Alligator mississippiensis: one gene and its partner. The protein of the gene in region 1 interacts with the protein of each later gene in a biochemical or structural test. Links are inferred from orthologs where the notes say so. Each region holds a gene or a part of one and is shown on either strand. Other genes may lie near its edges.

The links.
Region 2: of the proteins of PTPN6 (region 1) and SYK, one has a biochemical effect on the other in vitro, tested with the Homo sapiens proteins (2 studies listed by BioGRID). The link is inferred for Alligator mississippiensis from reciprocal best matches to the Homo sapiens genes PTPN6 and SYK.

The regions. Positions count from the first base shown.
Region 1 is NC_081824.1:244,116,624-244,124,681, reverse strand, and holds the start of PTPN6 (tyrosine-protein phosphatase non-receptor type 6), read right to left. Parts: upstream 3,002-8,058; 5' UTR 16-3,001; intron 1-15. Other genes in the region: C1H12orf57 (protein C10), read right to left, coding at 5,503-5,651, 5,788-5,964, 6,058-6,171, 6,419-6,563; ATN1 (atrophin-1), read right to left, coding at 8,046-8,058. UniProt on the Homo sapiens protein: Tyrosine phosphatase enzyme that plays important roles in controlling immune signaling pathways and fundamental physiological processes such as hematopoiesis.
Region 2 is NC_081826.1:212,112,026-212,120,142, reverse strand, and holds the start of SYK (tyrosine-protein kinase SYK), read right to left. Parts: upstream 3,259-8,117; 5' UTR 3,095-3,258; intron 1-3,094. UniProt on the Homo sapiens protein: Non-receptor tyrosine kinase which mediates signal transduction downstream of a variety of transmembrane receptors including classical immunoreceptors like the B-cell receptor (BCR).

The sequences.
Region 1 (8,058 bases):
TGGTGATCAACTTACCTCACCAGCCTTGGATGTCCTCAGAGGATAGATCACTGTTGTTGGGGGTTGGGCAGCAGGAGGAGGAGACCCAAGATCAGGCAGCCAGGTGCAGGTGCAGGGCAAGAGGCTTCCTTTCCACCATCTGTAAATCACTTCCTGATTTGTAGTTAATGAATAATTGAGGTGCATGGGGAGCAGGGGAAGAACAGGCTTAAACTGAGGGGGCAGGTGAAGAGGTGAGGAACTATCTGCTCTTCCTGCTTCCTCTCCACTAAGTACTTCCTTGACTATTTGTAACTGAAAGGCAGAGAAAACAAAAGTGAATAGCTCTGATCACCTGGGAACTTACCAGACTTCTGACTCTTTTCCCTTGCAGTCCTGGCCTCCACAAACACTGCTCTGCCTATGCCTCCAGTCCTGACCTGCAGCTACCCCTACTGAAAGCTGCTCACGTGCACATTTGAATTCCAGGGTTGAAAAGAGTCCAAAGACATTTGCTGTTTCCTCACTTTAAATGTTGGAAATTAACAACATCAGATGAAATGCAGCAAGGACAAGTGCAAAGTCCTGTGTCCAGGACTGAATCATGGGCAACTGGTGCCACCTTAGGGGCATCGGGGGTGGGGGGAGGAGTGGCCATGGCACTTCATCAAGTGCTCCCAGAAGTGGCTGTGGTGCTTGCAGGGGGGTACTGGCGCTCCCACCTGCCCCCCTGCCTGCCACCTAAGCAGGGAATGTGGCCTGTCAGGGGGTCCACCAGCACTCTCAGGGGGTGCATGTGCACCCCGTGTGCGCCACCACTGGACTGAATAATTGCACATACAGACTGGGGAATGACTGGCTAGACTGCAGTGCTGCTGAGAAGGGCCTGGGGGTTACAGTGGACTATAAACTAAACATGAGCCAACGATGTGCCCTTGTTGCAAAAAAGATCACAGCCTACTAGGTTGTATTAACAGGAGTGTTATTTGCAAATCAAGGGAAGTGATTCCTCTGTTCTGTTTGGTGCTGCTGAAGCCTTCTAGATCTGGGCCCAATGCTTCAAGAAAGATGTGAACAGTTTAGAAAGAGTCCAGCACAGCAGGGGTGATGCGTAGGGGGTGCACACAGATGCACATGCACCCCCTGAGCATGGTGGTGCACCCCCTACAAAAAGGTGCAGCTCTCCGTGATTCCCTCTGGCCGCCACCAACACTGCCAGCGGCGTCTGCGGGTGGTTGCCGACCCCTGGTCAGCACTCGCCACCTCCCCCGCCACCACTGCCGACAGCACCAGCAGCGTCTGCAGGAGCTCTCCCGCTAACCACTGCCATGCTCCTGCTGCTGCCACTGTGCCCCCCCGCGCCACGGGGAGCATGCATTGTTCATGCAGCACAGGATAAGAAAAATGAGCAAGGGCCTGAGAAACATGACTTAGGGTCTTGTTACACAGTAATTTGGGCAGCTCCTGGAGCTCTTAACCCCTGGGTTGTCCCCACATGTTAACATCTTAAAGCGGTTTTAAGCACGGTTTTGTGGCTCAAAGTTATGCCACTCCAGGGCAGGATTATTTCTGATCCACACTACCCAGCTCCTAGAATCACAGAATCATAGAAGGTGAAGGTTGAAAGGGACCTCAGAAGGTCACCTAGTCCAACTCCCTGCTCAAAGCAGGACCAGCCCCAACTAGATCATCCCAGCCAAGGCTTTGTCTAGCCGGGTTTTAAAACTCCCAAGGATGGAGCTTCCACCACCTCTCTGGGTAACCTGTTCCAGTGTTTTACTACCCTCCTAGTGAGAAAATTCTTCCTAATATCTAACCTAAACTTCCCTTGCTGTGATCATTGTTGTGACTTGAGACTGTTGCTCCTTGTTCTGTTATCTGCCACTGCTGAGAACAGCCTAGCTCTATCCTCTTTTGAACCTACTTCAGGGAGTTGAAGACTGCTATTAAGTCTCCTCTAAACTAAATAAGTCAAGTTCCCCCAGTCTTTCCTCATAAGTCATGTGCCCAGCCCCCTCACCATTTTTGTTTCTATCTGCTGCACTCTCTCCAATTTGTCCTTTCTGTAGTGGAGGGCCCAAAACTGGACACAGTACTCCAGCTGTAGCCTCACCAGTGCTGAATAGAGGGGAATAAACACTTCCCTTGACCTACTGGCAACACTCCTACCAATGCAGCCCAGTATGTCGTTAGCCTTCTTGGCAACAAGGGCACACTGCTGGCTCATATTCAACTTATTGTCCACTGTAACCCTCAGGTCCTTTTCTGCAGAGCTGCTGCCCAGCCAGTCAGCCCCCAGCCTGCGCTGGTAAATGGGATTGTTCTGTCCAAAGTGCAGGACTTTGCACTTGTCCTTGTTGAACCTCATGGGATTAATGTTCCATGAAGGTGTGGCCACTCTCCACAGATGTGCTGCCCAAACTGAAGTCCTCCAGTATCCCAGGATCTCTCATACCCCTACCCATACAGCAGAATTAAAATCCTACCCTGGCTCACAAGCCCTCTTGTGGCAGCTCACAGCTACAGCTCCTAGTCCTGCCCCTGCTCACCAGGCCTCTTGTCACAGCTCCAGGCTAGCACTAATGCTGATCAACCTTTGTGTAGCTCTCACCATAAGGTGTGGCAAGGCCCTTATAAGGGAAGGCTGAAAGAGTTAGGGTTATTTAGTCTGGAGAAGAGAAGACTGTGGGTCAAGGGTGAGGGGAGCGGTTGATAACATTCTTCAAATACCTGACAGGGGATCCTAACAAGGCTGGCAATGGACTTTTTTATGGCTGTAGGGGACAGAACTAGGAGCAAAGACCTCAAACTGCAGCAGAGGAAATTTAGGTTGAAGATGAGGAGGAACTTTCTGACTATGAGGGTAGTCAAGCATTGTAACAGGCTACCTAGAGAAACGGTGGAATCTTCATCCCTGGAAATTTTTAAGAGGTTAGATGGACACTTGGCTGGGATGTTTAGTCAAGGATGATCCTGCCTTGAGCAAGGGGCTGGATTAGATGACCTCATGAGATTCCCTTCCAGCCCTACTTTCTAATATGATTCTAATGTGCCAGCAATGCAGAAGAATAAGATTACTAGGTGTAAACGATTGCAACTCAAAGTACTTTTCTGTCCCTCATTTCAGGCTATTGCCACACATTAGCCATTACACCAGGGCGTGATCTACACATTAAGTATAGCAGCAGCTACAAAACAACAGGGTCCCCTAGTGTAGATACAGCTTTGCTTGCAGGAGTTTTTCTGGCCACCAGGACTAAGCGCCTCTGCACCCAGCCTTCTGTCTCTATGCCAGGGCTATGTCAGCAGGGTAACATTGGCTACAGCATAAGATCTTCTGCTACCCTGTAGGCATCAGTGCACTGCCAGTGGACCCCTGTAACATGGGCAAAGGTTACAAGAATAAATTGAGTTCAGGAAGCTTCTAACCAACACATTTGAACTAACATAGTTTTAGATCTTTTAACCTTTTAAAGAAACATAACAGCACAGAGCTGTCCAGTTGATGGCCCATGAGAGGTTAACATGCCTCCCACGCTGGTGGGACTCTCTGGGGCAGGGCAGCATGGCAAGGAGTATGCTGCCTGCTGGATTCTGGCAAGGGGGAATTCCCTGCTGTGGGGCAGAGGTTCTTGCCCATGTGGTGGCAGCAGCAGAGCAGCTGGCACAGCAGTAGCTGGAGACTTGCATTGCTCATGTGGCAGGGGTCCCAAGGTGCCCACATGGCCCCCAGGGCATGCTGCCTGTATGGTGTGCAGCCCAGGGCCTGCAAACTGTGTGGCATGCAGGCCCTGGCTGCTGTGTATCTGGCCAGCCCAAACTTGATTGGGCCCTGGTGTAATGGCTGTGTGGCAATAGCCTGAAATGAGGGTCAGAAAAGTACTTTGAGTTGCAGTCATTTACACCTAGTAATCTTATGCTTCTGCATTGCTGGCACATTAGAATCTTATTAGAAAGTAGGGCTGGAAGGGAATCTCATGAGGTCAAACCTGGGCGGACGAGAATCTGATGGTGTTCAACGCCGATAAATGCAAGGTTCTCCACCTTGGGAAGAAAAATCCGTAGCATCCTTATAGGCTCGGCAGTGCTATGTTAGCTAACACTATGCAAGAAAGAGACTTGGGGGTCATCATTGACCACAAGATGAACATGAGCCTGCAGTGCGATGCTGCAGCTAGTAAAGCGACCAAAACACTGGCTTGCATCCATAGATGCTTCTCAAGCAAATCCCAGGATGTCATTCTCCCCTTGTACTCGGCCTTAGTGAGACCACAGCTGGAGTACTGCGTCCAGTTTTGGGCTCCACAATTCAAAAAGGATGTGGAGAAGCTTGAGAGAGTCCAGAGAACAGCCACGCGCATGATCGGAGGTCAGGGAAGCAGACCCTACGATGACAGGCTGAGAGCCCTGGGGCTCTTTAGCCTGGAAAAGCGCAGGCTCAGAGGTGATCTGATGGCCACCTATAAGTTTATCAGGAGTGACCACCAGTATGTGGGGGAACGTTTGTTCACCAGAGCGCCCCAAGGGATGACGACTAGGTTGAACGGTCATAAACTACTACAAGACCGTTTCAGGCTGGACATAAGGAAGAATTTCTTTACTGTCCAAGCCCCCAAGGTCTGGAACAGCCTGCCACCGGAGGTGGTTCAAACGCCTACATTGAACACCTTCAAGAGCAAACTGGATGCTTATCTTGCTGGGATCCTATGACCCCAGCTGACTTCCTGCCCTTTGGGCAGGGGGCTGGACTCAATGATCTTCCGAGGTCCCTTCCAGCCCTAATGTCTATGAAATCTATGAAACTTAACACATTTAGAACCACATTCAACGCTTGCGTTCAGCAATAGTGTCACTTTACTGTGTTAAGTGCTGTCTGCACTAGCATGTTAAATAGCTAAGTGATTATTAATTTGCTTCTAACACAACCTAGCCTATACAGAGCTGCAGTGCCCACACCTTCCCTTTGACAGGCTGGGGTTAGGCGCGTAGCCCTGAACTTCTTGTTCCACCCCTGAATGGTTTCACTTGGCTCTACCCTCAGAACAAAAGCATTCCTTGTGCTGCAGCCATAGCACTCTATTTCAAAAGTCACCAGGTACCAAGTCTTTACTCCCAGGCAGAAGGGTTGTACCGTGGGGGGGAGCTGTCTCCTCTCCATTTCCTGGGACCAGGCTCAGGCAGAATGCCCTCACAGCAGAGCTACAGCAGGGCAGGACTGCTGAGGGAGGAGCAGGAAAGCAAACCTCCCTTCTGCCTCATCATCACCCATTGGAAACAGCTTAGGACACAGCCCTGGGACTCAATGGGACCACTCTTAAAACAACTTTTATTCACAAGCAGAAGCAGCACACTGTCTCATGCAGGCACGTAAAACACAACGCCGCAGACACACAAAGAAGCTTCTGAGCTTCCGAGGCACTGGGGGCTCCTGGGGCCCCACCTGCAGCTGGACAACCGCAGCCCGACCGGGATGCCAGGAGCCAGTGCCCTCATACTCAGCTGGAGCTGGACAGGGTCCCAGCTTCATGAGGCTGCCACCCCACCTGTCCCCGACCCATGCGGAGGCAGCGTCATGGGTGGCAGGAACATGGCTTTCAGCTTCCCAGACATGCTGGCGATCTCTGGGTCCTGAGATTCATAGGATTTTATCAGCCGGGCAAACTTCAGGACCCCTGAGAGACAGAGAGAGAAGGGGGTGGGGGGAGACAGAGCTGAGGGGCCAGCCCTCTGCCAGGCCGCCATTCACCAGGCCCAGCGGCAGCCGGGTGCCCCTGGTGACGCGGGATAGCGGGCAGGGGCTGACCCCACCTTCCCCGTCGCTGCTGAAGCCGTAGGCTTTGATGACGTCCTGCTGGATCTGCGTGGCCACGGGCAGCAGGAACTGCAGCATCTTGCCCATGTCGTTGCAGGCATTGTCCCGCGCCTCATCCAGGCGCTGCGCGTTCTCCGGGGCGCCGAACGCCTTGAGCACCTCGGCCAGCACCACTGCGGGCAGGGCACAGGCGTGGGGGGCGGCTCGGCACCCAGCAGCCCCGCCGCCACTGCCCGCCCCCGAGCGAGGGGACGGGAGATGCTCACCTTTGGCTTGCTCCGCGCTCAGCGGCGCCGCCGAGGCCGGGCCCGAGGCCGCCATGGGGCGCTGCAGGCTGGACATGCAGGCAGGGCGCGGGCTCCTCAGGCACCTACCGCCGCCTGCAGGGGCGGAGGAGCCACTGCCAGGTCGGAGCACAGCGCTCGGATCAATAAAGCCCCCGCGCCGTAACCCCTCCCAAAATCCACTACCTTTGTACGCGCTGGGGCCCCTCGCTACGCGAGGGACTGCTGGACAAATACTAAAAGAGCTGAAATCACTGCCCAGTGTGTACAACCCCCCGAACCCCCCACCCAGCCCGAGTATCGCCCAGGTTAGGGTGACTCCGGCTGTGAGTCGCAAACCCACTCCGCAGGTTCGCGGAAGGCTCCTGAAACGCAGCCGCCGCTCCCGGGAAATGTCCGCAGCGCCGCGGCGGCTCCCCGCGCCCCCCCGCCTCGCTGGCGCCGCGGCGCTCGGCTTCCAGCCCGCGCTCGGGCGAGTTCGCCGGCATGCAAATGAGCCGCCTTCCCATTGGAGCAGGGGCCCGAAGCTCCACCCCCGGCCTGTCCGCGCCCTGCAGGTTTCGGCAGCACTGGCTGGAGGCCCCGCCCCCTGCCCCTACCTCCCAGTCCAGGTGCGGCGGTGCACGCTCCTGGCCTCTCTGGCCTGGCCTTGCAGCTGGGGACTCACGCGCCCCCATCAATAGCACGGGCCTAGTGCTGGGGAGGGCGCCACAGGGGGCTCTGTGCCTCATCACCAGCTCACTCCACCTCCTGCCAGGCAGGGCAGAGGGGGCACTGCCCTTCATGCCTCTGCGTGCCTCGCTTGCTGCCAGGGCCCCCAGGCACTTAAATGAAAACCACAGAGTCCGTTTCTGGAAGGGTTTCATTTTGTTTGTAAGAGCTTCATATATATATTTTATATATAAATTATTAGAATGTGTGTTCGGGGTTCTGAGCGCATGGAGGACTTCATTGGGGTGTTTCCCCAGAGCTCTCTTTCTTGTTTTTCCTTTTCTCTTTTTAATGTTTTAAGTAAATATATATATATATATTTATATATATATATATATATGCATGTGTGTGTGCGGATATATATAATGTGTGGGTGTGTATGTGTGTACATATATATACACACACACGTACATATACACACACACACTCACACAGACAGAGATATACAACTGTGAGATCAGACACGCACGTGGGGACTGGGAAGTCACACATTGCTACGCAAAACTGCCACGTCTAATGGGATGTGCATGGATTAAAAGTACATCAACTGGAATAAGAGAGGGGAAAGAGGCAGCCACCATCTTGAACACAGTCCCATGGTGCTTTGCACCTGCTGGCCATACCTGTTCCCTTGAGGTGGGGGAAAACACAGCCACCATCTTGAAAACAGTCCCATGGTGCTTTGCACCTCATAGCCAGGCCAGTCCCTCAGGGGTTGGGTGGGAAAGTAGAAGTGGCCATTTGAAGAGTTCCAATAGTGCTTTGCGTCTCTTTGCCATGTTCATTCCCAAAGTGGGTTCGGAGAGTAGGAAGCCACATTGGCCAGTTTCCAAAAGTCCCATGATGCTTTGCATCTCTAGGCCATATCTCACATCCAAAATAGCAGGGTGGGAGGCATTTTGAAAAAAAGTTCACATCAGGTTCTGAGGGTCTGCCTCTTGGCCATATCTGCTCATGCAGGGAAGCAGAAAAGGCTACCACCACGTATAGAAAGGTCCCATCATACTTCATACTTTTGTTTTTTTTATTAGGTACAACCACTCTCTCAAAAGAGATTCTGGAACAGCAGCCATTTTGAATCCCCACAATTCCTTGTACTTCAAGCTCTCTGTCACATTAACTTTGTCTTTCTCAGTGCCCCTCTTGAAGTCATGCCATGGTTCCAAACATTTTTTAGGCATCTCACTCCCTCCCCACTTCTCTCCCCTCCTCTCTGCTCCCAGGATGGTCATCTTGTTCTTTCCATCCTTCCTTCTCTTTCACTGTGCTGAA
Region 2 (8,117 bases), on another chromosome or scaffold:
CCACATGAATTGTCCCACTGATTTAAAAAGGGCTACTAACATAAATAGGGGATTGTAGAATCTGGCCTAAATTGAATAAAGACCCAGTAAATCTTGACCTGATAAGAAAGGCATTTAAGACTCAAACTTGAGAAGTGTGGCTGCTTTGGCCCCAAAGTTGCACAGCATTTTAGTGCATAAAGGGTTTCAGTAAAATCCTTCACCATAAAGAGCTGTTCTTTGCCATGTTTCATTAGAGGAGAGAAAAGAAATGGGTCTAAATTTCCATTACTGTTTATTTATATACAAAGGGCCAAAGCTGTCAATTATTGTGGCTTGAATAAGTGAAAGGCAAGGGAGAATTTGAGCTAGACAGTCCACCTGTCCTTTGCAAACCAAATCCTCATGAAATCAATGTTAGTCTTTCCAATGTCTTCAGATTTTGAATCAGGACTTTAAAGCAAATGAAGACAAATGAAATAAAAGTATAACATTTTAGAACATAAATGAAATCCAGTATGTTCCTCCCTGCTGATTGCTTCATACCTCTGCAAAGGTCCTAGTCTCAGTACAGGATATTGTGCGAGTGTTAGGAAAGAAAAGGAAATGTAATCTCCCCTTTAAAAATGAAGAGCATGATCCCTTTGACTTCAACGACAGTTTGGCCACAGACTTTGAAAGCTTGGACCACTTATATAGCAAATCGAAAGAAAAAAAGATGGGATTAAAAACTGTCCATGTAACTCTCGTGTTATTCAATTTACACGTTTAAACTTTTTTCAAGTGAAACTTTACATACCAGTCTTAAAAAAAAAAGTTATTTTGGGACCAGAGTAACTTTTTAAAAACACCTGCTAGCTGTTCCCCAAAATAACTTTCAGTTGGTTTTTCAAGACATTAGATCAAATTTTTAATTCAGCTACATCAACAGAACCACAACGGCTAGAAAATAGAAAGGTAACAGAGAATATCTATTTACCTCTTTGATTTCATGGACATTACTACTATTTTAGGAAAAACAAAGCCTGAAAGGTTTATGAAGTACAATTTGGGATTTTAGAAGTTCTTCCAACTCAGTTCAAAACTGCGGTAGATATTTATTTTAATTAGTTCAGCAATTTTGATAAACCTAAACTGGTTTTAAATCTTTTATTCCAAGTTGTTTTAAATATTCATAAGGCTTCTCTCCAAGCCACTCCCCTCTCCCCCCCGAAGAAAACCGTCAAAATATAAATATACTGATGTCTCAAACTTCCTTATTTCTGTCTTTATCGGTCTCAAGCTCAACAAAGGGCTGAGAAGGAGAAGTTGTTACAGTTCCTGTAAAAGTACCCGCTAAAAGTGCTTTTGGGCTGCAACAGTTTCTGGCCCTTTATTTCAGAGCTTGAGCTGACTATGGGGTCTGCTCTAATGGCCACATCACAAAATCAGGCCCCAAAGGTCCAGAACATACAAGTGTTCTGTGTATGGCTTGTGGGAGAATGCCCAAAATAAAGATTACTAACCCCAATTACAAATGATCATGTAAATGGCTCCTTGAATGAGGGGAAAAATATAATCTTACAAGTGGTAGTTTTTTTCTTTAAAAAAAAATCTACCTATAAGTAGCCTAATTAAGGAATATGACATTGGGCTTGATCTTATTCCCAGTGGAGTCAGTACAAGCTGTGTCTAAGAAGCACTGCTAGGCTGGGCCCAAAAGATGATGTCACCATGCTCAAGTGTCCTGAAATAACATTGCAGGGGTTCGGGTTGTAGCCTTGTTGGTCTAAGGACATAGGCAGACAAGGTTCCTTGGGTGAATTTGATATCTTTTATTAGACCGACCCAAATGGTTGGAGAATAGTTATTAAGCAAGCTTTCGGGTTCAAAAACCCTTCGTCAGGCTAAGGAAGCTGCAGCAGTTGGTGTGTGCTCTTCCTGGTGTCACTCCTTGTTTGATGTCAGCATAAGGCTCTCTATCAAAGGTGTTACCAAAATTTGTTTATATATATATATATATATATATATATATATGTATGTATAGTGATTTAGGCCTCTTGTATCTAATGTGTTTCGTCACCTCTAACACTATTCTAGTCTTTCTTGGAAAAAAATTAAGGAAGTTTGCTAAAAAAAAAGAAAGAAAAAGAAACAAAATGTAACTAATGACCTTTTGTTAGGCTTCAAGGGAGCTAACCGGCACATTGCAATCACCCCTCACCCCTGCAAGCTCTGAACCTTGTTTTGTTTGCAGAGAGGACAGATGCACTCATTTGCTTCCATGCTCATTTCATTGCCCAGAGTTTCAAAACAGCTTTTTAAAGTGTTTTGTTTTCAAACCCATGGGTGCATTTTCTGTTTTTGCGTGTGCCTTCCTAACCTGCATCTCCTTCTCCATGGACTTCATCTCATGTGGTTTTGGCCTGTTCGCTTGTCCCAATGTCACTACTGCGTTCGCTGAATCACCGTACGGTTTTGATTTGGTCGAAGGATCCCTGTGGATTCTCTCCCTATTATTTTCCCAACATTTTTTCCCCTCAAATGTTACCTGAAAAATAATGGGGTGCAAGGCTTGTTGAGAGGGTAGGAAGCCTGAAGCTGGGCAGAAGGCAGACTTGGAGGGTAGGTGACTTGGAGGTGTATCTGTGGCGGAGGGTCAGAATTGGCGGCATCATGGAGGGACTTTGGCAAGTTTGGTGGGCGACAGGCACTGAAATGGTGCCTCCGAAGGGCGCTGAACCCTCTGAGAGGCTTGGGGGAGGGAGAAAGAGAGAGCGGCTGCAATGTTGCCATTGGGGGTCCCTGGTGTGTGGCCAGAGCATGAAAAAAAAATTGTTTTTGCAGCTCTCTAGTTAGTCTAATAAAACATATCACCTCTTTCTCAAGAGTTTTAGATGCCTTTCCCTCTAGACAAGCGACGCACACCTCAGGACATGGGGAGGGCTGGGCAGAGTCCCCTCAAGGAGCCCTGGGCGGGGCGGGGAGCGGCACGAATGAACCGGCCCGGCTGTCTGGAGGAGCCCAGGTCTCCCCCGAGCCGCCGGCATGGGTTTGGGTGCAGCGGGGAGCCCGCCCGGCCCTCCACAATGCTCTGGGGGTTGGCGCTCCCTGCTTCCCCCTGCCCCGCTCTTACCTGGGCGCGGGGCGCGGGAGTGTCCGACGCGGGCTCGGCTGAGGCGGGCGCGGGGCTCGGCGAGGATCCTGCCGCTGCGTCCCGACCCCGCGCTCAGGGCGCCGGGAGCCGCGGCTTCCTAGTTTCGCAGCCGCGGCCACTTCCTCCAGGCGGGCGGCGGCTCGCACACTTCCTCCTGGGCACGGTCCGGCCAGGCCCCGGCCTGCGGAAGGGCGCGGGGCTGCGGCGCCGGGGGTGGCGGCACCCCGGGGTGCTGCCTGCGTCCTGGGCGCGCCGGGAGAAGCGTGCCAGGGACTCGCGCACGGACCTGTGCGCACACAGACGCACACATATGCACAATAACATACCCATATACACACAAACACATGCACATACATACACACAAACACGCACATTGGACACACACATACTTACACACATGCGTACACATACATACACGCATGTACACATACAACCACACACATGCGTACACAGAAACGCATACATACACACATCTACATACACAAACACACATGCATACACAAACACATACAGACACATATACACACGCATGCACATACATACACACATGCATATACATACACACATCTACATATACACTCACACACCGCACATATACACACAGACATACAGGCAGTCCTCGACTTGCAATGTTTCGAGTTACCACGTTTTGCACTGACAACATTTATAAATTGACACCCTGTTTCAATTTTCTGATGTCAGTTTTGACTTTACAATGCTTGATCCAACTCGATGCCACATCAGTGAACCAGTTTGCTGCGTCATCCATCTCCCTGGAGAACATCTGTCCAAACTTCCTTGGACACTTTCTTTAGGAAAGCAGACAAGACTCCAGAAAAACCTGCAGCCAAGACTCCTGAGAAGACTCCAGCCAAGAACCCTTCAAAAAGTCCAGCAAAGTCACCTCAAAGAAGTCCTTCCAAATCAATCTGATTGCTATTTACAATATAAATACATTAATGTAGCTATATCACTCATCTATAATTGATCAAGTACAAAATTTTGGGGTATTTTTAGTGAAAACAGAGTATCAGGCCTTGGCTGAGGAACGAATCCCTGTTTATAATGTTTCCTTTGGGAAAAACGGTTCCGAGTTACAACATTTCGACTTAGGATGCAGTTTTCAGGAACCAATTATGTCGTAAGTCTGAGGACTGCCTGTACACATACATACACACATACACACACAAACATAAATACCCACAGACACATGTACACACACATAAATGCACACACAGACATACATACACACACAGAGACATATACACATAAGCATACACACAGAGGCATACATCCACAAGGACAGCCCAGCCTGAAGAAAGAGAGCATTGGGAACCTGAAAACCATGGGGAGGCCAGCACTACGGCACAGGTAAGAAACGAGAAGGTAAGAATCAAAGGGCCCCTTGGGACTCGGAGCGGGGGGGCAGCAAAGGCACCAGTCGCAGGGCTCAAGTGCCTATATACTAATGCTAGGAGCATGGGAAACAAGCAGGATGAATTAGTGCTCCTGCTTGCACTAAACACCTTGACTTAGTAGGGCTAACAGAAACCTGGTGGGATTCATCCCATGACTGGGCGGTACATATTGAGGGCTATAGATTGTACAGAAAGGACAGGGTGGGGAAGAAAGGGGGAGGGGTTGTGCTCTATGTCAATGAGCAATATACATCGACCCTCATCAAGACAGAATCCGAGGTTGAGGAAGTAGAAGGATTGTGGGTTAGGCTACATGGGGGGCAAGGAGAAAGAGATTTGGTGGTAGGGGTCTGCTACAGACCCCCACATCAAGGGGAAGAAAGAGATTCAGGGCTCCTGAGGCAAATCTCGGAGACCATAAAAGCTAAAGAGGCAGTAGTCATGGGGGACCTAAACTACCCTGACATCTGCTGGGAGTCACAGACAGCAAAGTCCCACCGCTCACGCAGGTTTCTAACCTGTGTATAGGACCTCCACCTGACTCAGGAGGTACATGGTCCCACTAGGGGGAATGCCATACTGGATCTGGTATTGGCAACGGGAGATGACATGATAGCGGACCTCCAGATCGGTAGCCATCTGGGGGACAGTGATCACCTAATAATAGAATTCACCATAAGACGGCGAGTGGGTAAGGTAACTAGTAGGGTGAAAGTGCTAGACTTTAGGAAAGCTGATTTCAATGAACTCAGGCGATTAGTCAAGGACGCACTGCAGAGTAGGAGATTTGAAGAGATGGGAGCCCAAGAAGGGTGGCTGTGCCTTAAGGAAACGATCCTTCGGGCACAAAGCAAGACGATCCCCGAGCGAGGCAAAAGAGGGAAAGGGGCCAGGAGGCTTCCCTGGCTGACCAGAGAAATCCAGGGCAGCCTAAGGGACAAAAGGGGAGCACATAAAAAGTGGAAACAGGGAGAGATCACCAAAGACGAATATACCTCCTCTGCTTGCGCTTGTAGGGAGGCAGTTAGACGGGCCAAAGCTACCATGGAGCTGAGGATGGCATCCCAAGTAAAAGACAACAAGAAATTGTTTTTTAGATATATAGGTAGTAAAAGGAAGGCCCAGGGAGGAATAGGACCCCTGCTAAATGGGCAGAAACAATTGGTGACGGACAGGGGGGACAAAGCTGAACTCCTCAGCGAGTTCTTTGCCTCAGTGTTCCTAAGTGAGGGGCACGACAAGTCTCTCACTGGGGTTGTAGAGAGGCAACAGCAAGGCGCCAGACTTCCATGCGTAGACCCTGAAATGGTACAGAGTCATTTGGAAGAACTGGATGCCTTTAAGTCAGCAGGCCCGGATGAGCTCCATCCAAGGGTGCTGAAGGCACTGGCCGACATCATTGCAGAGCCACTGGCGGGAATATTTGAAAGCTCGTGGCGCACGGGCCAAGTCCCGCAGGACTGGAAAAGGGCCAACGTGGTCCCCATTTTCAAAAAGGGGAGGAAGGAGGACCCGGGCAACTATAGACCTGTCAGTCTCACCTCCATCCTTGGCAAAGTCTTTGAAAAAATTATCAAGGCTCACATTTGTGAGAGCCCGGCAGGACAAATTATGCTGAGGGGAAATCAGCATGGGTTCGTGGCAGGCAGATCATGCCTGACCAATCTAGTTTCTTTTTATGACCAGGTTACGAAACGCCTGGACACAGGAGGAGCGGTGGATGTCGTATACTTAGACTTCAGGAAGGCCTTCGATACGGTATCCCACCCCATACTGGTGAACAAGTTAAGAGGCTGTGACTTGGATGACTACACAGTCGGGTGGGTGGCGAATTGGCTGGAGGGTCGCACCCAGAGAGTCGTGGTGGATGGGTCGGTTTCGACCTGGAAGGGTGTGGGCAGTGGGATCCCGCAGGGCTCGGTCCTTGGACTGATACTCTTTAATGTCTTCATCAGTGACTTGGATGAGGGAGTGAAATGTACTCTGTCCAAGTTTGCAGATGACACAAAGCTATGGGGAGATGTGGGAACAGCTGCAAGCAGATCTGGACAGGTTGGACAAGTGGGCAGAAAACAACAGAATGCAGTTCAACAAGGAGAAATGCAAAGTGCTGCACATAGGGAGGAAGAATGTCCAGCACACCTACAGCCTAGGGAATGACCTCCTGAGTAGCACGGAAGTGGAAAGGGATCTTGGAGTCCTAGTGGACTCCAAGATGAACATGAGTCGGCAGTGTGACAAAGCCATCAGAAAAGCCAATGGCACTTTATCGTGCATCAGCAGATGCATGACGAATAGGTCCAAGGAGGTGATACTTCCCCTCTATCGGGCGCTGGTCAGACCGCAGTTGGAGTACTGCGTGCAATTCTGGGAGCCGCAATTCAAGAGGGATGCGGATAACCTGGAGAGGGTCCAGAGAAGGGCCACTCATATGGTTAAGGGCCTGCAGACCAAGCCCTACGAGGAGAGACTAGAGAAACTGGATCCTTTCAGCCTCCGCAAGAGAAGGTTGAGAGGCGACCTTGTGGCTGCCTGTAAGTTCATCACGGGGGCACAGAAGGGAATTAGTGAGTATTTATTCACCAAGGCACCCCCGGGGGTTACAAGAAATAATGGCCACAAGCTAGCAGAGAGCAGATTTAGATTGCACATTAGGAAGAACTTCTTCACAGTTAGAGTGGGCAGGGAGGAATGGGCTCCCAAGGGAGGTGGTGCTCTCCCCTACCCTGGGGGTCTTCAAGAGGAGGTTAGATGAGCATCTAGCTGAGGTCATCTAGACCCAACACTCTTTCCTGCTTATGCAGGGGGTCGGACTCGATGATCTATTGAGGTCCCTTCCGACCCTAACATCTATGAATCTATGAATCTATGAATCCACACAAACACACATACAAATGTAAACGTGCACACAAAATACAGACGAGGTTCTATGGGTAAATCCAATATCTTTTATTAGACCAACTAAAATGGTTGGAAAAAAATCTTCTTTGCAAGCTTTCATGTACAAACACCCTTCCATCAGGCTGAGGAAACTACCCTTAGACCAACACGGCTATAACCCATACCCCTGAAGCACACAAAATACACACACAGACACACATACATATACACAAACATACACACACACATATGCAAACATAAACACACACAGACATGTACACATACGCAGAAAAACACACACAGACAGATACATAAACACATAAACATACACACACAGACTCACGCAGAACAGATGGATCCAGGATTTAGAAAAGGGTGGGTGGTGCAGATGATGTGGCACGTCATCCCAAAGAGCACAACACACATTTTTCTCCGGTTAAAGAGAAATGCAAAGCTTTACCGACATGCTAGGCTAGTGCTTAGTTATTCAGTTTAAGATCAAAGCAAAAATTAAAATAAAGATAAGTATTGGAACGTGCACTGAATTGCTAGATTATATTTAAAGTTGAATAAATACAGAAAGCATACAAGGCAAAACATAGTCAAAATAGAGTGGCATTAGTCCTGCAGCCATTACACTTAAGTGTACATCTCTCACTTAGATTCATAAAACAAATGCTAGCTTTCTTGAAAGTCTTGACTGT